3 linked regions of the Pelodiscus sinensis genome follow. The main gene of each other region encodes a partner of the protein of the gene in region 3 in a complex. Links are inferred from orthologs where the notes say so. Each region holds a gene or a part of one and is shown on either strand. Other genes may lie near its edges. The genes, in order: FST, TGFBR1 and GDF11.

What was found.
Region 1: the proteins of GDF11 (region 3) and FST are in contact, whole or in part, in a crystal structure (PDB 5JHW), measured with the Homo sapiens proteins. The link is inferred for Pelodiscus sinensis from reciprocal best matches to the Homo sapiens genes GDF11 and FST. Residues at the interface, in NP_005802.1 of Homo sapiens: Asn299, Leu300, Gly301, Leu302, Glu310, Arg312, Asp328, Trp329, Ile331, Ala332, Lys334, Arg335, Tyr336, Lys337, Tyr347, Met348, Phe349, Met350, Pro354, His357, Gln361, Ile380, Asn381, Leu383, Phe385, Asp387, Lys388, Gln389, Gln390, Ile391; in NP_037541.1 of Homo sapiens: Leu34, Arg35, Gln43, Val44, Leu45, Tyr46, Lys47, Thr48, Arg60, Ser62, Asp72, Asn73, Leu75, Phe76, Met79, Ile80, Leu134, Asp135, Arg149, Gln153, Pro154, Glu155, Val180, Val181, Asp182, Gln183, Tyr188, Val190, Thr191, Asn193.
Region 2: the proteins of GDF11 (region 3) and TGFBR1 are in contact, whole or in part, in a crystal structure (PDB 6MAC), measured with the Homo sapiens proteins. The link is inferred for Pelodiscus sinensis from reciprocal best matches to the Homo sapiens genes GDF11 and TGFBR1. Residues at the interface, in NP_005802.1 of Homo sapiens: Phe322, Ala324, Phe325, Gly326, Trp327, Trp329, Ile330, Met382, Tyr384, Phe385, Asn386, Asp387, Ile392, Ile396, Pro397, Met399; in NP_004603.1 of Homo sapiens: Ile78, Pro79, Asp81, Arg82, Phe84, Ala87, Pro88, Ser89, Ser90, Lys91.

Annotation. Positions count from the first base shown.
Region 1 is NC_134716.1:98,250,867-98,261,455, forward strand, and holds the start of FST (follistatin), read right to left. Parts: upstream 4,715-10,589; 5' UTR 4,323-4,714; coding exon 4,241-4,322; intron 2,525-4,240; coding exon 2,333-2,524; intron 1,929-2,332; coding exon 1,710-1,928; intron 1,356-1,709; coding exon 1,131-1,355; intron 95-1,130; coding exon 1-94. UniProt on the Homo sapiens protein: Multifunctional regulatory protein whose primary function is to antagonize members of the transforming growth factor beta (TGF-beta) superfamily including activin, myostatin, GDF11 or bone morphogenetic proteins (BMPs).
Region 2 is NC_134712.1:146,264,646-146,275,146, reverse strand, and holds the start of TGFBR1 (TGF-beta receptor type-1), read right to left. Parts: upstream 4,853-10,501; 5' UTR 4,765-4,852; coding exon 4,683-4,764; intron 2,432-4,682; exon of another isoform or gene 2,324-2,431; coding exon of another isoform or gene 2,314-2,323; intron 1-2,313. UniProt on the Homo sapiens protein: Transmembrane serine/threonine kinase forming with the TGF-beta type II serine/threonine kinase receptor, TGFBR2, the non-promiscuous receptor for the TGF-beta cytokines TGFB1, TGFB2 and TGFB3.
Region 3 is NC_134729.1:4,524,533-4,534,775, reverse strand, and holds the start of GDF11 (growth/differentiation factor 11), read left to right. Parts: upstream 1-5,447; 5' UTR 5,448-5,875; coding exon 5,876-6,269; intron 6,270-10,243. UniProt on the Homo sapiens protein: Secreted signal that acts globally to regulate anterior/posterior axial patterning during development. May play critical roles in patterning both mesodermal and neural tissues. It is required for proper vertebral patterning and orofacial development.

The sequences.
Region 1 (10,589 bases), on a different chromosome or scaffold from region 3:
TCATCACAGAGGGCACACCGACCTCTGCTAACCTTGAAATCCCATAAGCATTTCTTCCCAGCACTGCACTGGATATCTTCACAGGATTTGGCTTCTAAAAATATGAGATACCAGAAATGAATAAAGCAGAATCGCTCTTCTCATATATAGAGAACTCATAGGAAAATTAATATGAAGTTTACAGGTAAAATCCTGCTTACTTTACTCAAAGCACATAGTGCTTTTGGAAATCAGTGGACAGGGGAAGGGAGAGGGCAGTAGGGGAGGAGCAAAGTAAGCAGAATTTGGCCCCAGAAAGCTGGAATGAAATTTGCATATTCTAAATGACACCTGACCTTTTCTGGTTGAAACCAATGGGAATCCACTCACCCCAGTGACTTTAATGGGAAGTCTACAATTGGACAATTAATTAAACATTTCTACATTGATTATTTGTCAAGCTTAAACATATAAAATAGTCGTTTGTGTCATTAAAATAAATAGATGTGAGATCTTTAACTTGCAAAGATAATTTTTCAGACATGTAGTTACCTGAAATGCATATAATAAAAACACACACGTATTGTGATGATATTATTAAGAATTAGACCTTGTATAAAATACCAGGGTGGTTTGAGATTATGTTCTTATCTTAATCCACAACACCTCTCCTTAATCACTACATCTGACTGACATTAAATAACGTTTGCCAAGACCACTTGAAGACAAATGTTTCCAAGAATCCAGATCATCTGAATGTTGAGACTGTGTTACTCTGTTCATAGAATCATAGGATTGGTCATCTCATCCTGTCCTTTCATTCATGGCAAGACTATTTTTTATCTATTATGATATGTTGTCAAGTCATAATACATTTGAGGGCCTTACTACAGCTCCTATTAAAAATAGTATGGAAACTCACATTGATATCAAGGATTGAACCCTTTGTTCCCTGTTGGTGCCCAAAATCTTGTGTGGGTCACTCAAGCAAACTTCCCCCATTTGTTTGTGTAAAAACTGCAGGAGTCCACAACACATTCACTTCTAGGAAATAACCTGCATGCAGATACCTGCCTACTAAACTGTGAAACAACAAATTATGAAGAACGATTCCCTCTTCCCCTATAAGCACTCCAAAGGCTGATACCTACTGATACATTTTCCCTCGTAGGCTAATCCAATAGATCTGCCTAGTAGGCAGGTTGCCTTTCTCAGGTGGCAAGCACTAGCATACGTTATTCCATCATTCCCACAGAGATACTGTTCCGGGGAAGTAGGCTCCGGGCAAATCCGATTACAGGTCACACAGTAGGCATTATTAGTTTGATCAACCACACACGTGGAACTGCCTGGACATAAAACATCCCGACAAGTCTCTGAAATAAAGACGGAAACATATTAACAGGCGATCCAATGGTTCATACTGGGAGTGAATATGTGAAACAATCGAGGAAATGATAAAATCAAAGTCTTCGGCAGCTTCTTTCATAAAAAAAAGAGCCACGGGATAAAACCTTCATATCTCAGGGAAGCTGGTGTGAACACAGCGCGGCATGACTCTGGGGGACTCTCAATCAGCTATGGTTTGTCGGTTGAGCGTGGTTTACTTTTTGTCCCTCAGCATTTGAAACATCTTGTTATTGTGGGGAAGTACGTCAGCTCCTCCTCCCTACACTCAGACACACACCCTGTATTATTCGGGGAGGACTTGGTTAGATTTGCAAACCTACTTTTGCATTTGCCCTGATATTGGACTTCAAGTTCGGGTTGCTCTTTACATCTGGCTTTGAGGAGAGCACACTCGTTCCTGTAGGTTTTCCCATCTAAGCCACACACAGGACCTTTCCAAGTGACATTAGAGCAGTCCGGAGCACAAACACACCGAGGTTTGTTCTTCTTGTTCATTTTACATTTCTTTCCAGGTCCGCAGTCCACGTTCTCACACGTTTCTAAAAGGGGGAAGGGGAGGAGGCGAAAGAGGCAACATTTTAATACCTACTCTGCTCATCAGACTTCAGATAAACAGTGTTTACAAAATACCCCGACAATCCCACGATACAAAGGGAGCGAACAAGGTTTGTTTTTTTTTCAGCCAGAAAACAAAATGTGGGGTCCTGAGAGATCCACCAAATAGAAGGATCATTCTGGATCATATTTGACCACGCAGAGGCTACATCCCTTCCCCTTCTCACTAACTCCAGGTCCCAAGGAGCATTTACTTCCTGGGATGAACTTTAAAATCGTAATTGGAGCACGACACAGGGAAACACTGCTACCTCTGCTGACTCTGTCCCGGCCACCCCCACCACCCCAGTGCCTGCACCTGCGGTTTCGGAGCACTTTGCAAACACACCTTTGCATGGGATACAGTTTGGGGCGCCCCCGTTAAAAATCATCCACTTAAAAAGCGTGTTGTCGTTGACGTCTTCTTCAGTCCATGAAGTGGTGAGCCTGCCCGTTTTGCAGCACTCCTCCTTGCTCAGATCAGTCTTATAGAGGACTTGGCAGCGGCCGTTCTTTGCCTGCCGGAGCCAACAATTCCCAGCTGCAAGAGCGAGAAGGAGAACGAGACCCAGCCATATCAATGTCAGTTACCAGTGACCCAGACACAACACGTGCGGCTTGCATTGACTTTTACTAGACTGTTTACTTTTATTTGTCCCATTTCATAACCTGCAGCTACTCTGGGGCAATAGGCAGCGCAGTTTAAATAACCCGATCGAAACAGGACAAGGCAGTGTTCGGAGGTATTTATTCCATATGTAGACCATGGGGACTTGCATGCACGTGACAGAGGTATGAAAAGGATCTGTATTTAAAAAAGAATAAAAATAAAACACCCTTGCAGACACCTCCCCCCTTCTTCCTCTTCAAAAATGCTGTACAACACTGTTCTAGTGCTGCCCGGAGTCTCATTCGAGGCCGTTTTAACAATCTGCAAAAATTGGTAATATTTGCCTGTTGGCGAAGTCTTTCGAAATCTCGAAATGTTGCTGCTTCCCTTAGGAAATGTCTCTTCTTTGCTGAAGAAAATTAACTGAGATCCAAAGAAGGGCGATCAAAGTAAACAAGATGCCGGGGCACAGAAATAGGAGGCCACTAGATAAAAAGTTATAGATGTCGTCTGTTTCAGACGCAGTTTCATAGAGAGTAACACTGCACTTACATCGGATAGAGATTTGTTTTACTAGTATCTCTGCTATTTATGGATTCAAGCCAAGAACATTAGTCCAAGCAACTCCCCCTTTTTTAGTTGGAGGGTTTTGGTTGGGATGAGCCTCTCGTGAATAACCAATGTGACTTCTCCAGCAACTCAAAAGCAATTGATTCTGGTACTTATCCAGCAGGGGCTAGATCCTGTCTCTTTACTCCATTGGGAATTTTCCCGGAGAGGAATGTAGGATCGGTCCCTCAGACCGATATACATGGGGAGACTGTAGAGGGAAGCGTCCCCAAAGGTAATTAGTGAATAAACAACACCCTTTTGAAAATCAGTTTTCCTGGCTCAAAAGACTGTTAGAAGTCAGCTTTGAATTCCTTTTAGTTGCCTTCACAAAGTTAACCTATACATCCAGCTCAGCGAAAAAAAAACCCCAAACCCAACAACCTTCAGTAAAAAACAACAATCTAAGTTATGCAGGTTGTTAACGGAGCGGCATCAAGAACCTTCCTCCCCCAATAATTATTTGGGAAAGACAACTATTACATTTTCTGTTTGTTTTGCTCGGCTGGGACATGTATTTAAACACATTCGCTAGTGCAGCAGAATTCATAGCTCAACACAATTCACTCACAAACGTGGATGTGAACGGGCGGCCGGGAGGCTGTCACACGAATATTGAAAGGATAGCGGGAAAATGACTAATATTAGCGTCTGAAAATGTCATTTGTGATCGCGGAATTCACCATCCTTGCAGCCAAAGCAGCCGAGAGGAAAATCTAAGCTCCATTGCCACAAAAACTTTAAGACTGCTGGAGTAAGAAAGTTCCTGTGTGTGGCTGCTGTTCATTCATGCTTTACAATAATAATAAATAACAATCATCATCACCATCCCTCCTCAGTACTATGCCCAGCCGTTTGTGGAGCCGATCAAATATGTCACCTCCATACATTTGTACAAAGCGGTCCTACTCTCACAGTTAAGTTGAGGTTCTATTCCTTAAGCTGGTCCCTTGTAGAGAGGCGTTCGCAGGAGACAACTAAACATTGAGAAAAAGACAGAAAATAAAACACAACTGCAAACAAATAATCTCATCTTACCCTGTACGGTATGATCTTCCATGAAGTGGCACACAAGCATCAGGAATAAAAGCACGCCCGGGTGGATTCTCTGATTTAACATCCTCAGTATGCCCGTGAGTGAAAGAGGCAGAAACAATATCAAGTGGAGCAGAGAAAGAGAGAGACAGAGAGCACTAGTCAGTCTGCTTATGATCGCTCTATTGAATGAACGTCAGCCTCTCAATGCAGTCTCTCTTTAAATCTATAAGGGGGTCTTAGCTGTCTGCGGTGGGCGGTCTCCTAATGTGTGTGTGTTCGGGGGTGGGGAGATTTAAAAAGTTCGCTGTGAATCAGGTGACATTTTCCACCTTCTGGAAACCCTTTCCAATTATCTGTTTTAGGTGCATTCTCTCTCTCTCTCTCTCACACACATACACATCAAATCTGCAAGAGGGAAACGCTGGAGTTCTTTGCGTAGTAACAGGAAGGAGTGCAAAAACAGAATGGTAACTAGAGCTTAGAGAGAGAGAGAGAGAGAAAAGAACTATCCACTTGTGTCATTAATACCAGAAGGCGCGCACGCGCGCACGCAGAGGAACTAGGGGCTTTAACACAATTCATAGGACTAAAGCAAGAGCCATGTCACTTCTGTGGGGAAGGAGAGGCGTGATCCTTTCCTTTAGCCCCCACATCGTGGCCAAAAGGAACTTGAAAACAAACACAATCTGATCAGCGCGCGGAAATGTTTTTGCTTCTTGTTAGAAGTTTTGGGGCGCAGCAAAAGTTGATGACGTCTCTTGGAAGACACGATTTTTGTTGCTGTTGGGGTGTGTGTGTGTGATTCCCATTCCCTGTCTGTGACTAATAATAAATTTACCCCAACACCTCAAACAGTAGTTAAGTGTTTGGCGCGCACACTCCTCCCTCCCTGTGACTGGTCAAAACCAAACAAAAGTTTAATACCTATGGTTTTGCGCAAGTGACAATCTTTTCACTGGGAGCGCCTGCAGTATAGACCGGAATTAGGGGGGCGACGTAGGCGGTCTCCTTTCAGAATCAAAAAGGTTGCAACATCGATAATGAACTTCTAGAGCACTACTTTATTAAGCACAGTCTGGCATTATTCTCCCCTTAGAAAGTTGGCGGTCTCTCATTTATAACATTTTTTGGCATCGCTGAATGAAACTGAGTAGGCGATATTTCCTTTTATACAAAATGATTACTTAACGGAAAATGGTATTGTTTATTCAAAAGCTGGCTTTTTAATTTCGATTCTTTCGCTGCTGCTCAGAGCCACCAAAGCACAACAGACAGCAAAATATGCAGACAAAATTCTTGGACATTGCCAGGTCAATGGGATTTATGTGAAAGTTCTACCGATTCCTCCCCACCCCATCCTAGTCTCCGTAACTCCCCCCCTCTTTATTCTGCAAGCTTTTCTCCTTACTCCCCCATCACAACTGCAAATAACTCAGTGATAACAGATTTTTTTCCACCAACTGCAGGAGATAGTGCTAATCTTTTAATAAAAGATCCCATTACAATGGGATCTGTCTGGACAGACTATAATAGATCCAGAAATACAGCCGTGCTAATATTAGAAGACAGTTGTTTGGGTGCCTCAGACCGGGCCCTGGTCCTGCTTTCAAAGTGAGCATGAATCACAATGTCCCGTTGCACCACCTGCAGTCACACGCATTAAGAAGCAGACTGGTAAATAACTGACCTCGCTACAATTTGTGTTACTATTATTGTGATCATCCCTGAGCAGCTTTGGGGCATTCTGATAACTTCAGAAGCTTTTTTGGGACTACACATCCCTTTTAAAGCGTTCCTCAAATAGGTGCCCCCTCTTTCTCTTTCTCTCTCTCTCTCTCTCAACCAGCATTAATGCAGGGTTGTTTAGTGCCCTCTAATGGCAGATGACATTAACAATTAACAACAAATATCCCTTACTCATGAGCTCCTGGATAAAGGCTGCTTTTAAAAGGGGGTTGGCTTTGATACTTATGGTGTAACATGCTTTGCAAAGCATAGTTTCTCTCAGTGCTCCTCAACAAGGCCCAAGGAACAAAAATAGGTGGATAACTTCAGACATGCTCTCTTCCCCAGGCCCATCAGTTTTGTTAAACAGCAGTGTAAAATCCAGGTACAACATTAACCTTATATCACCTCTGCTTAGTTAGGAAATGTTACAAAACTTTCAGGAAATGTGGTGAGTCATAGGCCTGGAACGTTTTGTGGGGTGTATATCCACTCCCCATTCCTACCATTCATAAAGACACAAGGATTCTCTCTCAGGTATATGTCCGTAGGGATGAGGTGAGTACTACAAACCTTTCACTAGTGTCCCTCAGATCCATAACATGAATTTGGGGGTGCGAGTCTCAGCATAGGATGCTGGAAGTAGGGATGCAGGAGGTGCTGCAGGATCTCCTGTCTTCAAGTGGTTTCAATTATATACAGGATTTACAGTTTGGTTCAATGGTTCTAAGCACCTCCACTAAAACAATTGTTCCAGCACCTTTGGATCTGAGTTTCTTCCCAGTGGACCCAGTAGTCCACATTATAAAATCACCCCCACTCACATAAGTAAGCATTTTGTCCTCCCCCGCAGGCAGACCCAAGAGTGAACTGCCTCTCACCAAAGTGAGGGTGGCCCCTTCAGGTCAGGGTTGGGGTCATTGGCAGGGCAGTGTGGGAAACAACAAATTGCTGCTGCTTCTGCTGCCCTTGTGAATAGGGATCTCAGTATTTGTTTTGTGATACAGACACATGTTGGTTTTATTTCAGCTTCACCTTGGATTTTTATTGATCTGTCAGATAAAATGTTTATACTGATTCTAGACAGTGTTTGTTTATTATATTGGGGCATTATCTGGCCATATTCCTGGAAATGAGTCGCATGATAGGTCAACAATGGTTGCATATGTGCTTCATATGTGCATCATCAGGAGATCAATATGATTGCACTGGCATGGAAACTTGCATCCCACCTGTTTTCTGACATCACATAGAAACAGCTGCTGTTTCTTTAATTGTATTGTCTTTTTTAAATGTTAAATATTGGGTCTGTATACAGATAAAGGTCAGAGATGCATTGTTTAATCAAAAAACTTTTTTCATGTATCTGTTTGCCTCTATTTACCATTTCTCCCCACTTCTTTGTTTTGCCAACAAGTAAATATAAATTACAGAACTGGCAACATATACCACTCTATAACTGAATTGTCAGGCAGGACATAAAAGACTGTTGTTCTGACACTGTCAGTTTTAAAAACTATCTTTTTGCAAGATGTTTATCAATTTTAATATGTGATTTTGGATTTAGGTCTAAATTTTGCAGCTGGCCCCAGTCTCCAAATACAAATAAAAATATAATTAAGTTAAAATGCTAGATACAAAGATATAAAGCTTCAGCAAAGTTCAGATTCAGATTTAGATTCACATACACTCTTGCAGCTTGGGTATATCTCTGATGTATACAATAGATGTGTGGCTATAACAAAATCTGTCTATCTATATATCACAAATATTATGTAAATATTGACTGGCCTGGCTCTGAAGCAGTAGCAGTAAAATACTGCTTGAGGAACAAAATAGTTCTTCAGATTTACTTTGTGTGAAATGTACTATTAAACAAACTATTTTTTTGTCATTTATTGTTGTGGACACTAAGTATTCATTTTATTAATGTCTTGGAGTTTTCTCATGCTTTCTGCCAAGGGCCAGTTTCCTAATAAAGAAGCAGACTTTATCTCCTAGGGTACGTCTACACTAGCCCCCTAGTTTGAACTAGGGTGGCTAATGTAGGCATCCGAACTTGCAAATGAAGCCCTGGCAGTCAGTTAGAACTAAGGGGATTTAAAAATGGCGCTCACCCGGGAACATGCAAATGAAGCCCAGGATATTTAAATCCCGGGCTTCATTTGCAAGTTCGAATGCCTACATTACCCACCGTAGTTCGAACTAGGGGGCTAGTGTAGACATAACCCTATGGTGTGTCTAGACTACATGTTTGTTTGTTTTTTTTAAAGTGGCCTTTTTTTGAAAAACTTCCCCTGCGTCTGGACTGCTGCTGCATTCTTTTGAAAGTAAATCAAAGGAACGTGGCAGTTTTTTTGACCGTGGAAAACCTCGTTTTATGAGGAATAACTCCTTTTTTCGAAAGTGATCTTTTGAAAAAAGGCTTTATGTAATGTAAACTGTGCTTTTTCGAAAGAGAGCATCCAGATTGCTTGGGTGCTCTCTTTCAAAAAAGCGGCTTGCTTTTTTGAAAGTACTGGTTGTAGTCTAGACGCTCTTTTTCGAAAATATCTTTTGAAAAAAGCTTTTTTGAAAGAGGCTTGCAGTCTAGATGTAGCCCTAATGGGAAGAGGTCACCTCTCGACCCTTTCTTCTAGCAGAAGCAAATATTTTGGGTGACAGATCTTTTTTGGGATGTTGGTGGTAGTCTGGGGCCTCAATCAGTAAAAGTAAAAGTTTTGGGGAGGAGTTTGGTTTGTGAGTGGACACGTGTGGGAGCATTTCCTGCCACATCTTTATCCAGAATTCAAGGGAGGGATGGAAAAGGATTCAAGTTCACTCTGTTTTGCAGATGGACATTTCTAGGCTAGTTGATTTTGGTCTGCCACAAAATCAGATGGTATCTGTGCTGAGATGATTGACTTCTCCTCCTCTCAGGAAACAAAGTCAGTCAGTTTTCAACCCCTAGCTGTTTTTTCTGAAAATTACTTTTGAAAATTGACCTTTTAGTTAATAGGTTCTTTTCTCTGAAAAATATATATGTAAATAATTTTCTAAGCATCATTATACTATACACTAGACAGCAATTTATTTTTCTCAGTGTAGAGAGATTCACCTCTGGACAGTTTACACTTGCTATAGAATTTCACAAACTGCTTCTCAGAAAAATATACATAAAGAGATATATTGAAAGGGTGCATTTTTAGAATGTCTTGTATGGTCAGGCCATTTTCATGTTAAAATAGACAATGCTTAGCTTCACATTGTCTTAACAAAGTTCTAATATTACTTTCTGCAAGTACTGGATGTACTTTAAGATAGAATTCATTTGTTTCTTTAATGAGTGAGAATTTGTGTACAGAATTTATACTTGTATGCTACTGATATGAAATTTAATTATATTTCTAACTAGACGAGGACAAGGATATTGACAATTTATTTTTTCCTAAAGCTGAGAGAAAAAAGTTTATGGATGTAAGATATTAAACACTAAGGCTACGTCTACACTGGCATGATTTTCCAAAAATGCGTTTAACGGAAAACTTTTCCGTTAAAAGCATTTTCGGAAAAGCACGTCTAGATTGGCAGGATGCTTTTCCGCAAAAGCACTTTTTCACGATCGGGGCTTTTTTGTGGAAAACAGTACTGTGCTGTCCACACTGGCCCTTTTGCGCAAAAGTTTTTCGGAAAAAGACTTTTGCCTAAATGGGAGCAGCATAGTATTTCCGGAAAAGCACTGACGATCTTACATGAGATCGTCAGTGCTTTTCTGGAAATTCAAGCGGCCAGTGTAGACAGCTAGAAATTTTTTCCGCAAAAGCATATGATTTTGCGGAAAAACTTGCCAGTCTAGACACAGCTTAAGGGTATATCTACCCAGCACAGCTATTTCAGGACACCAGGGCTACGTCTAGACTGGCATGATTTTCTGGAAATGCTTTTAATGGAAAAGTTTCCCATTAAAAGCATTTTCGGAAAAGAGCGTATAGACTGGCATGGACGCTTTTCCGCAAAAAAAGCCCCGATCGCCATTTTCACGATCGGGGCTTTTTTGCGCAAAACAAATCTCAGCTGTCTACACTGGCCCTTTTGCGCAAAAGGGACTTTTGCCCAAACAGGAGCAGCATAGTATTTCCACAAAAAGCACTGATTTCTTACAGTAGGAAGTCAGTGCTTTTGCAGAAATTCAAGCAGCCAGTGTAGACAGTTGGCAAGTTTTTCCAGAAAAGTGGCTGATTTTCCCAAAAAACTGGTCAGTCTAGACACAGCCCAGAGGTATCCCAAAATAGCTACTCCATGTCCACACAAGCTGCCCATTATTTCAAAATATTTTTCAAAATAATGGGTGCAGTTTTGCCATCCCGGTAAACCTTGTTGCATGAGGGTTAAAGGATGGCTCAAAATAGCGTGATATTTTGAAATTTGGCACTGTGTGGATGTGTAAAGTTTCAAAATAAGCTATTTTGAAATAGCCGGCCTGGGAGGTAGAATGGGAGGCCAAACAGCTGGCTGGAGGGCAGTGAACTTGGTGGCCTTGCAATGCTAGGTGGAGATTGTGGTTCCTCTGGGGGGTCGTGAGGCTGCTGGCCAGTGGGGTTCCCTTTTCCCCTGCTCTGGTGCTGCAGCCAAGTTGCCGGGGGGG
Region 2 (10,501 bases), on a different chromosome or scaffold from region 3:
TTGTCCATGGCAGCCAGGACCTTGAGGTACATACACACCCCAGGCTAAAGTCTCTGGTAGATAAGAGGCTAAGATACAAAGAAAATATGTTGAAGGAGGTGCTACAGTGCTATAGAGGAAAGGGAATGAAGGAATGCTGGGAATCTAAAAAAACAAAAACAATCAAGCATTTGTTAGGGAGACAATTCAGACAATAAAAGTAATGGAGGAGCAGACAGATGCTCAAGTCATCAATAATGTTTTAGAGTGAGAGGGTCTTCCTCCACTGCTGCACATGCACAATTTCTTGTCAAGCAACCTTTTGACTTTGTGGGACTCCTCAGTTTCCCATTCTCTCAACACTGACAGTGATAGCTAGACCTACACACAGTTGTGACGCTTTACCTTTTCCAAGCCTCTCCTTACCAGCAACGGAGTGTTTCACTGTATTTTCTTGATCAATAAAGGCAAAGTTTTGTAACAGTACAGTGTTTATTTTGCATTCCACAAATTCACACAGCAATCACTGGTCCAAGGTACAGACTTTTAAAGCATTTTCTTGCAAGGACAGGTAGGCCGAAATTTTTGCATGGATGTATGAGGAAAGCAATTTCAAAACATATATGTTAGTGCCCCTCATTGTCAAAATGCTTCCCCAAAATAAGGATGTTAAGCAGGTAATTGACTAATCTTGCAGTAGATACAATTTATATCCACTACATGATTAGTCATTAAGGGACCCCACTGCAGCTCTGCAGTTTAAATGTAGCCTAGGGCTTATCAGGAAGTTGACTAGTTGCTTAACATCAAGGAGGCTTTGAGGTAGGGATGTAACAGTAGCCCTCTGATATTCTAATCTCTGACTGCTCAAACTCTGCAGCTAAGTGCTCTGCCTTAGCAGACACTTCACTCCTGAGCAGACATTTCACCCTTAGATTGACACAGGTTATTCAAAGTGTAACACATGGCTAGGACCATGGGAATATTATTCCCCAAGAAGGTCTAGCCTGTCACTGAAGTCATGGTGGAGGCATCTAACTGCCAAAGGCATGTTTGACTACCACATGGCACATGCTCAGCCTGTTAAAAACACTCATTACTATTGTCCAGGTGCCCTGTGTCAGGGAGGAGAGGGATAAGTCAGGTCTCCCAGGCATTTCCACACACCCACTATAATCTTGTCCGGGAAAAGTGTCCTGTTCAGGAAGCTGCAAGCGAGGACCGAGTTCCTGAAAATGCACACATCATGCCTCTTTTCAGACCACCCCACTTGGTCTATGAAAAGCCTGGGTGATCCACAAACACCTGCAACACCATGAAGTTCCCAATCCTACTGATGTAGTCTTTTGCAAAATTGGACATTAACGTTGAAGCATGTGCCATCTATCACTCTGCCACAATTCCAGAAGCACTCCTTTGCAAAGCCAGCCATTATTTCATGCACATTTCCCAGAATCATGGTCATCCGTAGTAGAATGTGATTTATTGCCCTGTACACTCGCAGTAACAGCACAACGGCAGACTTCCCCACTCCAAATTGATTTGCAACTGACTGGTAGCAGTCTGGAATCACCAGCTTCCAGAAAGCAACTGCCACGTTTCTTTACTGAGAAGGCAACTCACTCTGGTGAGATTGTGCCACAATTAAGAGACCAGCTCAGCATACAGCTCTGGGAAGGTTATTTTATGCATCCTAAAATTCTATAGCTCTTCATCTCACACATGCATGACAACGTGAACCCACCAATAAGTGCTGGTTTCTCTAGCCCAAAAGCAAGTCTACCCTATGCAATTGCTCCACAATTTCTAGAAGCAGTGCTCAGTTGCTGCTGTTCATATCACAAAGAATGGCAGATGACTATGAATCTTCCTCGGCCAGTAACTTCACGATTAACTGCATTGCCATGCATGATGTCATCACAAACTTGATAGAACTTAAGAGAAAAATGAGGGATCCAATCTGTCTCTCTGCAGATGCTGGAGTGCACCAGTGTTCCCTCTAAGCTTCTGCATCTATGTGCAGAATAAATGTTTATGTGCGCTGAAGCATATGCAAATATGCACCACCAGTAGAAAAACACCTAGCTACGGGCACTCCACTAATCAACTTGATGGTATTCATCTCTCTCCTGAGTGGCCACACAAGCACTCAGCTTACCAGGAACACTGGTGTACAGCAAAGAATGGCAGTTGGAAAAAGGCACAAAAGGAAGTTGGATACCACAGGAGGGCTCAGACACAAAGCAGTGCCCGACTAGATTTTTGCACAGCTCCAAGATGCACCACACTCCATTCTGCAATAAAGGTATTTATAAGTTACAAAAAATTACTTACTCAATGTCATAAAATGACTAAATTGACAATCCTAGGTATATCATATATAGGACAACTTTCAGAATGGGACATTTTATACTCCTTTCTCTGGCAAACTTCCACTGAAAATGCATTTTCCCTAAAGAAGCAATACAGAATTGAGACAGTACTGAATTTGTTTATGAGCTATTACTATAATTTGATAAAATTTAAAATTAAGACACTCAGAGGGTTCCAACTTAAGAGAAAGAAACATTGTTTCTGTAGTATAGATGCCAAGAAATGGGTCATCCAACTTCACAGTTCACACTTAACTATTCCCAAGACAGCGTTTGTACCAGAGAAAACAATACCTCATATTGCATTATTTTAACGAGGTAGCTCACGTGTAAAACTGTTGTTTTCCTCTGCGTTTTTGTGAAGTAGAAGAAAGTTAAACTTTAAAGAGACACCTTTAGTTCTGTTAAAAGTTTCTGATTTCCTTTAAGGAAATAGCAAGGTGTCTTGAAAAGATTTAAAATAATTTGAAAATTTCAGACAATCTTATTCTGCTTCCCCATGCAAAGGATGTCTCTCCCCTCCTCACTAAGCAAATATTTATCGGATTACCAAGATTCTCTAATGAGAGATCAGAGATGTATTAAATATGAATGTATGTATTCTGCCTCATCTTAACCCATCCCCCTCCAAAAAAAAAAAAAAACCTTTATCTATACCAGGTCTCAAAGTCACATATCATCTAACACTGACTGCAAGAGAAAAGTATTGCAGTTTCCCAAGTTACACTTATTTCTTAAATTGAAACAAAAGTTACTTCTAATATTGCATACATTCTGTATTTATTTTGCTTTATCTTTTGGGCAAAAGAGTAAGCAATAACATACACAATAATATTCCTCTGTGTTTATGATAATTTGATGCATTACAGATGTGCATACCCAAAGATTATGTAACTAAGCAGGTTTATAGATGTTTGGTTTAACATTAATAAAGGATGAGCAGTCCTCTGGCACCATAGAGATCAACAAATTTATTAGGTTATGAGCTTTTGTGGGTAAAAATCCCATTTAAGTGGAATTTACAGAATTCCAACTCGTCTGATGAAGTGGGTTTTTACTCACAAAAGCTCATCTCCTTTATTAATGTATTAGGACATATTACTAAGTCCTACCACCAAACATATCCTGCGTTATTTGGAGAACTGAAGGTACAGTTGTGTTACTGTTCTTAGTTGCCCAAAGTCACAAACAACTCCCGCAACACACTTCAACCTATATGTTTTGACATCAGATTAACTGCAGGATTTTGCTGGGGTAGAAAGAACTAACTCAACATTCTAATATGCTGCCCTTATTTATAAATGTGTATTTTGTATACTAGTGGGTATAACAATAAGGTGCTTAAATACAATGCAGATTTACAACCTAAACAGCATTTAATCTAAGCAATCATCCAGGCCAGTTTTTAATCACAGAGTACATAATACCAGCATATTGCAAGTTGGCGCCCAACTCAACTAGAGCGAGTGGCTTCTTACTTCAGGAGACTCAAGAAAAAAAAGTGGTTTTTTTGGGGGGGTGGGGGGGAGATTTGTTTTGGGTTTTTTTGCGCTTTACCTAATTGGAACATTCAACATGTAGTTCTCTCCCCTCCACCACCACCACCCTTACATTTGTAAAGAACACTGGAACAGTTACATTGTGACCATAAGCCTGCAGCACATATTGGGATTTCCCCCATTTCGGTTACGAATACCGGGCACCTGGGACTGCAAGCGGAAGTTTTAAGGAACGACATTTTATCCGGACTGGCGCAAGTCTCTGTGTATCAGGGTTAAAGGGTCTGTCCAGCCACGCAAGCCCCAGATCACTAGCGGGAACGAGGAACGCGAGAGCGGCTAGCGCCAGGCGACTTCCAGCGCGCTCACAGCCCAACCGGCTGCAGAAGAAGAAAACCGGGTCCGACCAGACCCCAGCGGCTGGGGGCAGCCGGCCGTGCGCGGCGGCGCTGGGACACGATCGGAGGCGAGGGCCACGCGCGGCGCAGAGCTCGTGGTGCTGCCCCGGGACCAGGGGCGCAGACAGCGGGTGCCACAGCCGGAAGGGGGCGGGCGCGCTCGGTGCCTTTTTCACCTCGCTCCCGGACCCGCTGCGCTCCCCGCTCCACCCCCTGTTCCGGGCGCGAGGAGGGGGGGGGGGGGGGGGTCCGGCAGCCGCCGCCCGGCCGCTGTTCCTCAGCCTCGGCGCCTTTGCTCCGCGCGCACCCGGAGCCGCCGGACTCGGCCAACAAAGGGACGCGGGCTCCGCCCGGCCGGCCCCTGCGCCATGTTGTTGAAAGGAGCCGGCGGGGACCCGCGGAGCCGCCTCCCCGCCCCCGGGGCCGCTACTCACCCGCCGCCCCCGGGAGCAGCAGCGCCGCGGCCGCCAGCGAGAGAAAGACCCAGCCTGGCCGCGGAGGGGCCGTTAGCTCCATGGCGCTGCCCGCTCGCGCCCGGGCTCAGCCTCGCGCCGCCGCTTCTCCGATTCACACTCGCCCTTGCGGCCACTTTATAATGTAACTGACACGCAGGCGCCTCCTGATTGGCCGCTCCGGCCCGTAGCCCCGCCTCCCAGGCGGCTGCAGACATTCTGAACAACAACAAGAGTCTGGAGAAATACAACCGGCTCGGCGCCAGGCCAAGTGGGCGTGGCGGTGGGGAGGGTGAGCGCGAGGCGGGGAGAGTGACACGGGGGAGGTGGCTGAGCGCACTGCGTCTCCCTTCCCCTGGACTGGCGCGTGGACAAAAGGCAGCGTCTGGCCAGCAGCTCTCTCCGTTGTGGGCCTGGGGGGCAGGGCACGCGCGGGGGTTGGGGCGCCTCGCGCTCCAGCAGAGTTTGGACGCTACAGAGACGCCTCCACCTTCTCTCTCCATCCCGCTCATGCGGGCTGAGTGAGGCGGGGGGCGCTCTCTGCCTGCAGCGTGCTGCAAGGGTGCCAGAGCCGGGCCTGCTACTTGGTAGCGGAGCCGCAGGAGCTAAGTAACTAGGTGTCCGAGATAGAGCCGGCAGCGCCCGAGGAAGCAGGGTTGGAAGGTGCCCTTGGTAGTAAAACGCTCAACAGTGCTGGAGGAGGGAGGATTTGTGCACACCCAGTGCTCACACCTTCTCTATACAAGACAGTACTCTGAGAGTTTTTCCTCTCATGCAGCAAATCAGATTGACAGAAAGCAAGGAAATTCCTGAATAAGTCCTTGTAGCCATGCCTAATCATAGCACTGGAATGGACCTAGAAAGGTCCTCGTGTACCTTGCACTCATTGCAACACCAGCCACCATCTAGCCCACAGGTGTTTAACTTGCTCTTAAAGATCTCCAGTGATGGAGATTCCACAGCCTCTCTAGGCAATTTATTCCAAAGATTAGGAAAAACTTACTGTTAGAATAGTTAATGTCCAACCTAAACCTCCCTTGCTGCAATTTAGGCCCATTGCTTCTTGTTCACTCACCCAATAGTTTCTAAATCTTCAAGTATGGAAGTCACCAGGTAAGGTTACAATTAGGACACACCAAATGCACTTGCACCATTGAACCAAAAACAGTGGCCAATTCTCAGGCATTCTTAAATTTGCCTTGAAAATGCTATAGTGTCTAGCCACTTGAGTATTACCACGTACAGGCCCTATAGCTATGTTTCTGTGAGGCTGCGTCTAGATTGGCATGATTTTCCAGAAATGCTTTTAACGGAAAAGTTTTCCGTTAAAAGCATTTTCGGAACAGAACATCTAGATTGGCACGGATGCTTTTCCGCAAAAGCACTTTTTGTGGAAAAGTGTCCGTGCCAATCTAGACGCTCTTTTCTGCAAATGCTATTCATGGAAAAACTTTTCCGTTAAAAACATTTGCGGAAAATCATGCCTGTCTAGACGTAGCCATCCAGTGTGCTGATTTCTCCTGTTAAAGTTAACAGGAGAAATCAAGCTTCTGACTTTATAGACTAATTTAGGTGCTTGATTTTGCCACATTTTATTTTAATGCACATGGGATGGAGCGAGTTTGTGGGCTGCTTTTGGGAGTGGTGCAGTGCCAATGCAGGGTGAGCCTGCCTTAACCCTACTGCACCACCACCCAGGAGCCACCTGAGGAAAACAGTGCCCAGCTGGTACCCACATCCTGAAACCCTACCCCAGTCATGAAGCCCCTCTTGCACCCCAAGCCCCTGCCGTTGCCTTGAGTACCCCTACATCCAAACACCATCCCAGAGTCTGCACCTAGAACCCCCTCAGGCACGCTAACTGCCTGCCCCAGGTTCAGCTCAGAGCCCATCTCACACTCCAGATCCCTTAATCCAAGACCGGAGCCTGCACCTCAACCCTCTGCCCCCATCTGGTGAAAGTGAGGGAGGGTGAGGGAGAGAGTATAGAGTGAGCAGGGGTGGGAGCCTTGGAGAAGGAGCACAAAGGAGGTGGGGCAAGGGTATTTGGGTTTGAGGTAGATCTTGGATTGCACTTACATTCAAAAAATGATCTTGTGCTTAAAAAGGTAGAAGACCACACTGCAGACATACCCTAAGATGCTAAGTCTGCAGCTAACCAGCTTGTTGTATTTGACAGCCTATAATGATCCTTGCTCTGTACCTAGTAAGCCACTCAAGCTTACAGTCTTGGGTTTCAGCTTTGAGCCGATAAATTTCTATAATCAAACTACTGTAGAGATTGATATCTGCATATACATTGTATGCAAGTTTAATGCTTTATACCATTGAAAGCAGAGATTGTAAGCTTTTACAAGCAGTGTTGGTTATAACTCTCTTGGCAATATAAAGGTTAAAAGCTTTAGCATAGCTAGGGCCTAAGCATTTTGCTTCCACCATTGTTACTGCCTGTACTGAATTACATTTTCATTTTATTCCAGTTCAGGTACACTATCTATCCAAAGTGGATGTCAAGTCACAGACGTATTCAAACAGTCCAGTTAGCAAGTGGAGGGGTAGTGGAGACAGAGACCAATATGCTGAACTTAAGAAAGCCTGGAAGTGCTTGGGATCTAATTCCAGCTATCCATTTGAAGGGTTTATGTGTCTGTGGTAATCCTGCAATTCTGACCAAGGTGAAGGGCAACCTTTCTAGAGTGAGTGGGGAACATTTTCTGTCCTATTGGATATAGCTTATAAGTCGTCTGGATCACCATCCAGTCAAAAGCAATCTCAGTAACAGGTTGCCAGACTTCCTGGCTCAATGCCAGGTCAATGCTGGAAGCACAGTTTTCAAGACAAGGTAGTTTTCCCCCACACTCTTTTAACTATGATTTTAGAATCTCTGAAGAGCAAACCATAGTGTGTACATCCCATAGGAATATAAGACCGCCTTTTGGGTTCTGGCCTCTTAGCAGCGCAGTTTGTATGTTCCCCAGTAATAGTAACCAGAGAACAACCTTTCTTGCATTTGGCAAGCTTATTACATTTGAAGCTTTCCTGTGATAGTTGAATTCAATCAAATAAGTGCAGAAGACAGGGAGATCTCTGACTGAAAGAGAACAACCAGAATAGCTTTTAGGAAGGAGGAGTTCTCATAGATCCTATTACATTGACTCTTAAGTTCTGGATTGATTTGGCCATTATCCAAGAGCCTGGATCCACATCTCTAACAAGCCATAGTGAGGTTTGGGACTAATACTGCAGGGGCCTCAAATCTGATTGGTGCATCTGAGCTTTTTAGAGGTATAGCAAAACCAGCAATCAACCCTGATCAAAGTCAGAGATTTTTTATATTGAGTTTTTGTTTGTTTTTAAAAGCTTCGTTCAACCTGGTTTTTAAATGGTTTTAACAACAACATTTCATACAACAATATGAGAATCAATAATGGAAGGAAGAAGGATACACTCACCTACTATCAGTACTAATTCCTAATGACAGTAAATTAGGATTATAACTTGGAGGAAGAGAGGAGAAACCTCCTTTTTACTGGCAGAAATATCTAATTCATCACACCTGTCCTAGCACTGCTACCTAGCAATGTCTGCACTCAAGACATGCAGCTGTGCTTATTCTGAGTCAGCGGCAAAGAGAACCTTTATGTTTGAGTTTCATAACAGTAATTCATGCTGTTATTTTTAGATTGGATTGATGCAATGTGTTCTACCTGGTGGATTTCTTGAAGATTCTACAGCTGGTTCAGAGTGCAGCTACTACATGCCATTTATCAATGAGAACATATTGCTCCAGCACTTCAACACTAGTTCCCTATTTGATTCTGGGTGCAATTCAAGATGCTACTTTAGTCTAGAAAACCTCTTAGGACTACAGTTCCAGGTGTCTAGCAAATCTATTTTCTGTGATTTACTACAGAGATTAAAGGTCCTACAGTGCTGAAACTAACAAGGAGCTAGGCAAATGGATGATATTTAAACTTTCAGAGGCATGTTAGTGATAGAATATTTGTGAGGTGGTGTCTCAGATCTACAAGTTGCTTAGAATTGTGCCTGATGGATCCCAGATGTATCAGTTATTGTGATGGAGAGCAAAGTTCTCCATTGGGTATTGTCTTTTTGTTCTATAAATGGTATATGTCTGTTATATAATTTTACCATAAGTAATTTGGCATAACATTTTTTTAAAATCTTGGCCTTAGTAAAGGATCTTCAGAATGAGTGACAGCCACTGCAATACATGCATACAAGACATCTAACTTGCATCTTTACTATATGGACTAGAGTATTTTGAAGCTAGAGTGAAATTGTTCCAACCTGGTATTTCTTCAGTATGGCTGGGACAAAGGGCTGAGTCCTAGTTTTCTTAGCAGGGATTGCTCATTACTGAGTTACTTTAAGTACAATATAGTCGAGTCTCAACAGGTCAGAACAAGATCAAATTAAAGCAGGATTTGTCTTGGCCAGGATAGTTTGGATGTTGAAAATCTCTTAGTCTACATTTCTGTCTGGTGTCGAAGACTAGTGTTTACTTTAAAATACGATATCTTCTGAACAACCAGGGATTCATTCAGTTAATATACGTTATCAGGAATTCTACCTCTGGTCTGGACTTCATTACAATAAATAAAATAATTCTCAAAAAAGTCTCAAATCCTCATCAAGTTCATTCAAGCTTCCTGCTGCTTAAAATCTTTAAAAAAACAAACCCCAAAACAAAACCAAAAAGCCCTTACTATTCCGTTATAGCTTCTCATTCCCCCACTTCACTCTGATTGCCTACATTCCTGAGCAACAACCTCTCTGTCCCATCCTCCTCTTCTTTATAATGTACACAGAGTCTGAATGAGTTCTCCCTTCACATCTAGTGATGACTTCAGGAGCTGATATTGTTTGATATTCAGTACACCCACCCTGCTTAGGTGCTCAGTATGATGGGATTGCATGCCCATATGGTCACTTTTGGTTGGTGTGGGATCCCCAGTCTGCTTGTTATTGGGGCACGAATAATACAGGGTTGTTATCCTTGTGTAAATCAAGAGCAGCAGAACTGTACTTGGCATTTTCTGACTGACAGATTCACCCTCAACTCAACCACATGACACACACACTTATGCATGCGTAGGAGTGTGAGTCCTGCGTGAAAACCCTAGATGCCATCACATTCTCCGTCTCCCAATTGTGTTATAACAGTGCTAATTTAGACTCAGTTGAGTGTCTTATTACATGCTGCAGAACTGAAATCACTGATACTTAGGTCTAAGTGTTAGACCTGCTTTGAGACAGTGTAATACAAGGGACTACTCAGTGTACTGGCAGTGAGGCTCCTCCACCTCAGCTGAAATCATGGAGAACTGTGTTAAGCATGAAGACATCTGAGCAAGTGTCTGGCAGAGAGGTATAGCAAGTAGCCAGCAGGATGGCTGGCAGGGGGTGCAGCGAGCAAAGAGGTGAAGCAAGTAGCCAGTAGGATGGCTGGTGGAGAGGCAGGGCAATCAGCCAGCAGGACAGCTAGCAGAAAGGCACAGCAATTGGGCAGCTGGTGGAGAGGGACAGAGCAGAACCCACTGTGAGTGCTGGCAAGTGAATCCCTAAGCAGTAGAGCCAGTGAGAGTGCACAGCAGGGCTTAACTCGAAATAAGCTGTACAAACTGAGCTACATCACTTGCATAGCTTATTTTGAAACTGGCACCATCTACACAGCTCTTATTTCGAAGCAGATTACTCTTCCTCCGACTTCTCTTACTCCTCGTACAATGAGGGTTACAGGAGTCAGAGTAAGACGGCCTCCATCTTGACAGAATTTT
Region 3 (10,243 bases):
GCCAGGCTCCCCGCCGATAATCACGACATCTCTTTTAGAGCCCCAGGAATCGCTTTGCTATGGCAGCCCACCTCTAGCTGCTACTGCCCATGGCCGGGGTGGCTTCAAACAGGAAAAACCTCCAGGCCGAAAGCAAAGCCTCTGGGCTGCTGGAGAAAAGGACCAGAATGTGTGAAAATCTGGCCCAGCAGTCGACGTGGTTGGCTAAGGAATGGCTCCAGCAGCTCCAGAATTGGCTGGGGCCACCTGGAATATTTCAGGGCACCCACAAGTCCAGATTTCACATGGAACCTGCTGGAGGGTTTAGCTAATTCCCCCGGGGAGCCATGCTCATAGCTCGACCTCCAGCCTTGGCCACTTGCAGATGTGGCTTTGTTTAGCCTCACCACCCCTCTACGGGGGAGGAAGTGGCTTTAGTTCCATCCTGTTGGTGGGAAACTGAGCCACATTGAGGTGCAGGGACTTGGCCAAGGTCACTCAGCCTAGGCCCAAAGCCTCAGGATAGAGCCAGGCCTACTTGCCCCATGCTGGCTCCTTGAGGAGCCAAAAAGACACTCACTGTGAGGCCTGCACTGGGCCATTGGGACTGTCTGTCACCCTTCTGGGCAGCGCAGGCCAGAGATCTGCCCCCAGCATGCACCCCCCCTTGCCCTGGCGCCAGCTGAGCTGGAGAACCCGCCCCGGTGCTGGCTCTGGGAGAACGGCGCCTTATTTCCAGTCTGGCTTCAGCCCTGGGAGCTCACATGGCCTCAGGGGCACGCGGAGACGTGAGCCAGCTGCCTCTGGACAAACGCACGGGGCCGTGCTCAGCCGCTTCCAAAGGGCCTGTTCCTGCTTTTACGACATCTGGCTCTCAGTCCCCCGCCATGCTGCGTATCCCAGCCCTTCCCTTCCACGGCTGCCCTCTGTCCTGCTCACGGCATCCACAGCTGCGGCCTGCCCCAGGTCCAGCCACCGCACACGGCTCTGGGTGTCCATCCGGCGGGGCCTTGCTGAAGCCAAGTCTGCTGATGTAGGCCCCAGGCGATTGCTCTCCAGGGTAATGCATGGCCCACGCCTGGCTCCGAAAGACCCATGGGGAGGAGGAGCTGGCCTGAGCCCCTGTGGACATTTAGGAGCCACCTTCCCCAGCTGGGGAGTCTTTTAGCTCAGGACACACCCTGGACCCTTTGCCCAGCGCTCGGTTCCTGGCCTTACGTCTCAGGCGATTTGGGATGTAAAAGGCTAGTGCCTGGGCTGGGAATGGTTCATGTGCAGCCCTCATTCCTCACCCCAGGCGCCTGCCTCAGTCTCTGCAGGTTCCTGCCCCAGGCACGTCTGCAGGACAGCTCTGGGTGGAGGTGGGAGGCTGGGGGGCAAGGGTTAGACAAGATCCCGGATGACAGAGCTGGACAGGAGCCTTTGGGGTCCAATAGTCTGTCCTTGGCTGGTGCTGGTCTGGGCACCTGTATCCAGGCTAGCTGGGAACGTCTCAGGAGATGGAATACAGCTCAGCACTAACCTAATTGTCTGTCTAAGCCCATGCACCCCCTCTATCTATGTATCCAGCCCCATAAGCTGTGTCTGTCCGTCCGTCCACGTCTCTTGCTTGTTCTCCCCTCATCTCCCTCTGTCTGTCTAGCTCCCTCTGCTTGACGCACGGGATAACCCAGTGCAGGCAAAGGGCCCCCGTCCCCAGGCCACCTTGCATCTGTGGCAGTGGAGTCCGAACAGCCAGATGCTCACGTCTGCCTTGTGGGGCCTTTGGCCCACGAAGCAGCCAGGCCTAGGAGGAGGGAGCAGACAGACCCACACCCGCAGGCACAGTCAGTCCATTAGGTTGGGCAGGACCTTTCCTGCCACTGAACATCTTTGCGGCTCCAGGCCCCCAGGACCTGGCTGCATTGGCCTGCGGAATGAATGATGCTGGTGCCCGCTGGCTCGTGGCGCTGGAGCTCATAGGCGGCTGGATTGAAGCTATTGTAAGACCTTAGGTTCAGATAGTTCCCCTCCCTAAGGCCTTAGCAGGGACAGGCCAAGGCTCCCTCAGCCAGGCCCAGTCCTCTGGGAGACCAGGCTGAGTGAGGCCTTGGCGCCAGATTCATCGCCCACCAAGGGATATTTTACTCAGCGATGCCCGGTTCCCAGGGGACGTGGCAGGTTCTGCTCTTGCTGGCTTCAGCGCCAGGCTGGAGGCCTTGTAGCCAGCCCCTGGGCTCGGGGCAGAGGGGCATGGCCTGTGTGTTGCACAACAAAATGAATGGGGCCTTCTGGTACGATCTGGGGCTGTGATTTGGATGGACGTCTCCGCGTGACTCCCATGCACCACGCTGCAGGGCACTGAGCCTGGGTACTCCCAGGGCAAGAGGCTGAGTCACTCCAGGGATTCACGGCTCCAGAGAGCGGAGCTATCGGAAGGCCCTTTCCACACCTCAGGCACGTGGCTCCAGGCAGGTAGGTCTGTGCCATGCTGATTCTCTCTCCATGGTTCTGATGGGGGCAGGGGATGCGAGGTGGGGGGTCTGGCTGGTGTTCCCAGCCCCTTTGAGGTTTCCAGCTGGGCCATATATGGGATACTAATAATCCAAGACAGGTGTCCGTTTGCCCCGGGCCTTTGGAGCCATGGCTCAGGGTGGGACCCTTCCTAGCCTACGTTCGAGGCGATGCTGAAAGGTGGCCCTGGGTTTGCTTTCTCCTGGACCAGATGTGCTGAAACATCCAGCAAGATCGCGCCAGCAGGTAGCTTTGCCCCTGGCTCTCCCAGGCGGGGACCAGCTGTGCAGCAGGGCTGGGCGGGCTTGTTACAACAGTGGATAAACGTCGGGGACCAAACGGTGGGTTACCTACCTCACCACCCCCAGGTGGGTTAGTACCAATAATAATGGCAAATAAAGACACCCCCTCCCCTTCCCCGCCACCAGCCAGGGCCTCTCTGCCCTGGTGCAGCTAAGACAAGAGGGAAAGGCCCTGAAAGTAGAAGTGCTCAGTGGTCACCCCCAGGGAAAGGAGCAATGTGCTTCCACTGCCCCAGCGGAGTGGATCCCAGGACCTGCCAGTCCTGCTGGGCGCCAGGGAGAGGAGCTTTGGGGATGGTGTGAATGTTTGATTGGTAACCCAGCAGTTTCTGCTTCAGACCGTGTCCATCCCCAGGGCCCTCAGACTGCTCCGCTGGGGCCCCCTGGCCGCCACAGCTTGTCCGACAGCCTGTCCCCAAACCAAAGGAAGCTGACAGGGACTCCTCTTTTTCTCTAGTCTGTCCTCCATCCCGAGATACTCCCCTCTGGCTGGCTGTCCCCAGACACTACCCATCCATCTCTCTGACCGTACACCCCCTCTAGCCATCCCCCCACTCACACCCCGGCCATCCCCCCACCTCTCTAACCATCCCCCCCACCTCTCTATCCATCCCGCACACCCCTCTAGCCATCCCCACACACACACCCCGGCCATCCCCCCACCTCTCTAGCCATCCCGCACACCCCTCTAGCCATCCCCCCACACACACCCCGGCCATCCCCCCCACCTCTCTAGCCATCCAGCACACCCCTCTAACCATCCCACCCCACACACACCCCGGCCATCCCCCCACCTCTCTATCCATCCCGCACACCCCTCTAGCCATCCCCACACACACACCCCGGCCATCCCCCCCACCTCTCTATCCATCCCGCACACCCCTCTAGCCATCCCCCCACACACACCCCGGCCATCCCCCCCACCTCTCTATCCATCCCGCACACCCCTCTAACCATCCCCCCACACACACCCCGGCCATCCCCCCCACCTCTCTAGCCATCCAGCACACCCCTCTAACCATCCCCCCCCACACACACCCCGGCCATCCCCCCCACCTCTCTAGCCATCCAGCACACCCCTCTAACCATCCCCCCCCACACACACCCCGGCCATCCCCCCACCTCTCTATCCATCCCGCACACCCCTCTAGCCATCCCCACACACACACCCCGGCCATCCCCCCCACCTCTCTATCCATCCCGCACACCCCTCTAGCCATCCCCACACACACACCCCGGCCATCCCCCCACCTCTCTAGCCATCCCGCACACCCCTCTAGCCATCCCCCCACACACACCCCGGCCATCCCCCCCACCTCTCTAGCCATCCAGCACACCCCTCTAACCATCCCCCCCCCCACACACCCCGGCCATCCCCCCACCTCTCTAGCCATCCAGCACACCCCTCTAACCATCCCCCCCCACACACACCCCGGCCATCCCCCCCACCTCTCTATCCATCCCGCACACCCCTCTAGCCATCCCCCCACACACACCCCGGCCATCCCCCCCACCTCTCTATCCATCCCGCACACCCCTCTAGCCATCCCCACACACACACCCCGGCCATCCCCCCACCTCTCTAGCCATCCCGCACACCCCTCTAGCCATCCCCCCACACACACCCCGGCCATCCCCCCCACCTCTCTAGCCATCCAGCACACCCCTCTAACCATCCCCCCCCACACACACACGGCCATCCCCCCACCTCTCTATCCATCCCGCACACACACCCCGGCCATCCCCACACATCTCTCACCCCATTCACACACACACACCCCGGTCATCCCCCCACACCTCTCTATCCATCCCGCACACCCCTCTAGCCATCCCCACACACACACCCCGGCCATCCTCCCACACCTCTCTATCCATCCCGCACACCCCTCTAGCCATCCCCACACACACACCCCGGCCATCCTCCCACACCTCTCTATCCATCCCGCACACCCCTCTAGCCATCCCCACACACACAGCCCGGCCATCCCCACACATCTCTCACCCCATTCACACACACACACCCCGGCCATCCTCCCACACCTCTCTATCCATCCCCCCTACCCCTCTAGCCATCCCGCACACTCCTCTAGCCATCCCCACACACACACCCCGGCCATCCCCACACACACACCCCGGCCATCCCCACACACACACCCCGGCCATCCCCACACACACCTTCTCCTTCTACCCGTCTCTATCTCTCTCCCCTCCGCCCCTCCCCGAGAAGAGCCGGGCTGGGAGACCTGGGGATTTCCCCGGGAGGAGTCAGTCGCTGGCTGCACTTTGCGCCCCTCCGCGGCGCATCGCATCGCCCCGGGCCTGTCACCCGTGACAGCGTCTCCAGCGCCCACCGCACAGCGCCGCCCGCGTCTCACCGGCCGGCCCTGCCCGTGGCAGCGGGGAAGCGGGGGGCGATTCCTGGGCTCGCCGGGTCCGGGAGCGGGCGGGGCGGGGCGGGGGTCCCTTCCCCGCGCGCTGGCCGCTCGTGCTCCGGGCCCCGGGGCTAAGGCAGGGAATGCCCGTGCCCGGGCCGGGCGGCAGCTCCCACATGCCGAGCGCAGCGGGGGGGCCGCAGCAGCCCTCGGGGGGAGGCTGAAGCCGGCCGGGGAGAAGGGGGCTCGGCGGCCGCGCCGGGCGCTGTGAAACCCGGAGCGCAACCCGCCCCCCGCCCCCACCCCCCCGCGGGCGGCCGAAGTTGCCGGGTGCGGCGGGCCGGCCCGGCAGCCCAGTGGGGGCGGGGGCGCCTGTTTCTTTAAGGGGCTGCCCGGCCGCCCCCTCCCCTGGCGAGCCGCTGCCTGGCGAGCTCGGGCCGTCTCGGCTCGGCTCGCTCCTGGTTCTCCTCCGGTGACAGCCCTTTCGCCAGAGGCTCTTTTGTTGCGCCCGCAGCCAATCAAGGCTTTTTACGACACAGTGGAGTTGGGATATAAAACCCCGAGTCCTCCGAGCCTCCCCCCCCCGGCCAGCACCACTAGTTTCGCCACCCGCCGGCTCCGCGCACCGGCCGCCAACTTCTGCCCCGGCCCCCCCGCCTCGCAGCCAGCCGCGGCCCGACTCCGAGTCCCGAGGCGGGGGGAGGCAGGAGGGGAGCCGGCCGCCCAGCCATGCCGGGGCGCAGGTCCTCGCTCTTCCTCTGGGCCCTGGCGCTGGCCGTGGCACTGGCCCCGGGGGAGGTGGTGGAGAAAGGGGCCGGCGGCGGGCAGCCCCCCCCGGGGCCCGAGGCGGAGGAGCCGGGCTGCCCGGTGTGCCTGTGGCGGCGGCACAGCAAGGAGATGCGGCTGGAGAGCATCAAGTCGCAGATCCTGAGCAAGCTGCGGCTCAAGGAGGCGCCCAACATCACCCGCGAGGTGGTGAACCAGCTGCTGCCCAAGGCGCCGCCGCTGCAGCAGCTGCTGGACCTGCACGACTTCCAGGGGGACGCCTTCCCGCAGGACGAGTACCTGGAGGAGGACGAGTACCACGCCACCACCGAGACTGTCATCAGCATGGCCCAGCAGAGTAGGTGGCTCCTTTGTTAGCGCCGGGGGGCCGAGGCGAACTTCGGGGGCCCCCCGAGCCGGCTGCGCGCCGCGAGCGGGGGGAGCTGCGGGCTCCTGCCTGCGCCCCTGGACGCGCGGTGCGGATCGGGGGTGGGGCTGGGGGTGCAGCTCCCGGGGGGGGGGGGCTCTTGGCTGCAGCCCCCCACCCCCCCAGGCCGGAGGAACCTGGCGCCTGCAAAGCCGAGGGTCCCGCCCCCGCGGGCAGGGACCCAAGGCCGCTCCGGGCGCCCCGCGGGGCTGCGGGCCGCCCGGCATTGTCTGCGGCCGGGCTCGCTTTGTGCCCGGCAAAGCGGCTGCCGCCGGGGCGAGCTGCGAAAGTTTGATCCGGTTCCGCCAGCGGCCCAGGCCCCGGGAGCGCTGCGGCCCCCCCCCCCCCCGCTATTCGCCAGGGACTCGCTCTGCCCAGCCTGGGGGGCGTTGAGCCTGCGGGGGGGGGGGGGGCTGGCAGCTTGGCTGGGGGCTCCGGGCACAGCCCCGCTTGGCTCCTGGGAAGTAGATGGGGGGGGGGGGTGCTCCAGTTGGCCGAGGGAGAAAGTTTGTTTGAAAGCATCGCCCAGCGAGAGCTGGTGCCTGGCAGGGGCTGGGGTCTCGGCTCCTCCGGATCCCAGGCACCCGCTCTCCCTCCTGGGTGGCTGGGGGCAGCTGCAGCCAGGCTCTGAAGGTGGCACCTTGGGTCTCGCCTCTCTGGCTGCACAGGGGAGACCCTCAGACCCCGAACAAGGCCGTTCTGGGTATCCCAGCCCTGTGCTGGCTGGTCCATGCGGGTGGGGCAGGGAGATGCACAGGTGGGGGTATGTGGGGAGATAGGACAGGTGGCACTGAGGGTATGTGGCGTGCATGTGGGGAGATGGGGCAGGTGGCCGTGTGGCTGATTGGATGGGGTGCCTGGCGGAGGGAGCTGCCCCACAGCGAGTAACCTGAACAGACCGTGAACCACACTTGAGAGGTGCTATGCCCAGCCTACAGCCTCGCCTCAGTCCGGGCTGGCAGGCCCTGGGCTCACAAGGTGCTGCCCATGCAGGAGCAAGGCTGCGCTGTAGCAATGAGGGCCTGGCGGCTGGCAGGACACGCAGCCAGGTGCCAGTCTTGGTTCGGGAGGGGCTGCAAGCCAGGACGTGTAGGAAGCAATCCTTGTAGTGTGAGCTTGTGTAAGTTATGTCACCGCCCTGTGCCTCAGTTTCCCCATCTGTGAGGCGGGAGCAAGGGGCCTCAGCAGAGCTGGGGAGCCCAGGGCTGGGTGAGGAGCGGGATGCAGGTCAGGAGGGTAGGGCACCGGCAAAGCTGGGCCAGAAGGGGGTTGCTGTGGGTCAGGAGTGAGGGGCCCTAGCAGAGCTGGCCTGGGGGAGCCAAGCGGGGTGACTGGGGAGTCTATCCGCTGTGGAACAGCAAGCGCAGCTGGGGTGAAAGGAGCCCGCCCGAGCGCTGGAGCCTGAAGGCCTCTGCCGTGGGAGCAGCGGGAGGTTGGACAGCAGCTGGGTGATGCCCGAGTCCTGGGGCTCGGCTCCTTGGCCTCCCCCCTCAGCCAGGCTGGTGCGCTGTGCAGAGCTGGCTGGGGCCTAGCAAAGGCGAGGTGCCTGGAGGTCACTGGAGAGCAGCCACTGTGAGATCTCTCTGCTCCTGGCACCAGCTGGGCCCTTTGCTGCCCCCGGCCAGAGCCAGGCAGCGAACAGCCCACAGGCTTGAGCTCCCCTGGCCTGCAGCTGCCCTAGGGGCAGGGGAGAGGCTGCTGCTGGCTGGGCTGGACTCATCCTAGGGATGCCCAGGGGTCCCAGCCTGTCATTGTCACCCAGTAACAGAGACCCACAGCCTGAACTCGGGGGCGGGCCTGTCTCCAAGGCAAGGCAGTCAATGCAACCTCCTTCCCTGACAGCGCTGCCACCACCAAGCTGCGGCCAAACACCGACCCCCCGGCCAGCCTGGGACAGGGCAGCAAGCAGAGGAGAGAGAACAGGGGTGGGCAAGATGGTAGGCAGGGAGGTGCAGGGAGGGGGTCGGGGGGCAGGTGGGTGCAGGGAGCTCTCAGACACAGCACGGGTGCGAGGGGTTGCACTGTAGTGACACAGATGCCTGGCCATGACTCTCCGAAAACAGCCTGTCTTGGGGGACCAAGGGGGTGGAGGGTTAAGGTGCCCTGAGGGGTGGGAGTGCAGGGAGGCAGGCTCTGTGGGCTGCAGGGTTAGTGACTGTGGGATTTCAGCCCTCGAAACGTCCGCGTCTCTGTCCCCTCCTTGTCCAAAGGCCCGAGTGGCCAATGCGTCGCTGGTCTCCAGGTCTCGGCTCTCCAGGGAATTTCACAGAGCACCAAGTGCCCGCCCCCGTGGCTTTGCCCACAGCGATCCAACTTGCTAGCTTGGTACACGGTGGCTGCTCATCCCTCAGTTGGCCACGACCCCTCTTCTCCATGCTGGGACTGCTCCTGAGCCCAGTGAGTACAGGGGTGGGAGTCACCCACAGTGCAGTCTGCGGGCGGGGGGCGGGGTGTCTGGATAACAGCATGGCAGGCAGGTGGGTGCAGGGAGGAAGCATCTCTTCTGATTGAGACTCACCACCAAGCTCCCGGCCACCCATGGTCTCCAGTCTTCCCCTGGGAGGCGGCCTCTGGGATTCAGGGTGCCAAGGCGAAATACCAGCTCAGGAAATCACTCTCCCTCCAGCTGAACGTAGGCTGGAGTGTGGGGCGCCTCTCTCCGACCCGACTGGGATAGGCCATTCCGTGTCCTCCGCACCGTGTCTTCCCTCCGGGAGGAATCCAATCTAAGCTAGTCCTTGGGATTGTGCTGCAGGGTAGCCAGATGACATGGCCAAGCCACTGTCCCCCTCTCTAGCTACTGAGACCAGATGCAGCTCTGCTAGGCCGGATGCACTCTCCCCAGGTCATCCCCAAGATTCTTCTTAAACACAGCTGGCGGGGTGCATGCAGCATCCTGTTGGTAACTGGACCCCCACCCACCTTTCCGAGGTGTACAGTGCCGCAGGCGTGATCTTGCCGTAGCGTGTAGATGGATCTTCTTACTCTTCCAGATGTTCGACAAAGGGGAGAATGAGCCGCAGGCTTTGCCAGTTCTTGTCTTCCCTGTGGTGAGCTGCTGTTAGCAGATACTGTGCTTCCAAGGCAAAGTAATCGACTCTTCTGTACGCTGCTCCAGCCACCACACCCCCGCCTGCGCTGGCCGCGTTCTCTGTCTCCGCGCTCGTGGGCTTTCACGTACTGACACCAAGTCCCACTGGTGGGACTGCTCAATGCGTTTCCGTTCTGTCCGAGTTGGTATGACCCTGGACTGTGTCATCAGGAAAAGCAGAGTCCAATAGCTCATCCCTGGCCCACAGGATCTGAGCAGTCTGTGGCAGTGCAGAAGGGGAGCTGCCTTGCCTCACAGCAGTAACAATATGAAACCATTCTGGGTCCCCGCTCTGTCCTGATGCAGGCTCTGTTGACAAAGCTTTTCTCAAAGGAGCCATCTCAGCTGGGCTTTCCGTGTTTCCCGCTTGGTCTACGCTGCAGCTTGATGTCCGCATTAAGTGCACCCTTCACCCCTGAGAGTCCACCCCTCGGAGCGATGCAGTCAGCAGCTGAACTCCTGGGGCAGACGTCTCCGGTCGGCACAGCCTCTGTCTCTCGGAGAGATGAAGTACCTGTGCTGATGGGAGTTCTCTTCCGTGCAGGTGGCATCTTCACCAAGTGCTGCTGCTGCACTGCCACGGTCCTGAATGTGTAGACAAGCCCCCGGGATCTTCCAGAGTTTACCCAGGAAGTTAAAAACCATCTTCTGCTGAAATGCTGAGCCTCTCTGTCTCCTCAAAGCAATAATCTGCTTCGAATACAGTACAACCTACCAGGTCAAAATCCAGCTTGTTCTCCACCGGCAGCTATTTTCCTCCCTTTTCCAGGTACCGACAGGAGGCTCATCCCTCTCTCACGGGCACGAGTAAGCT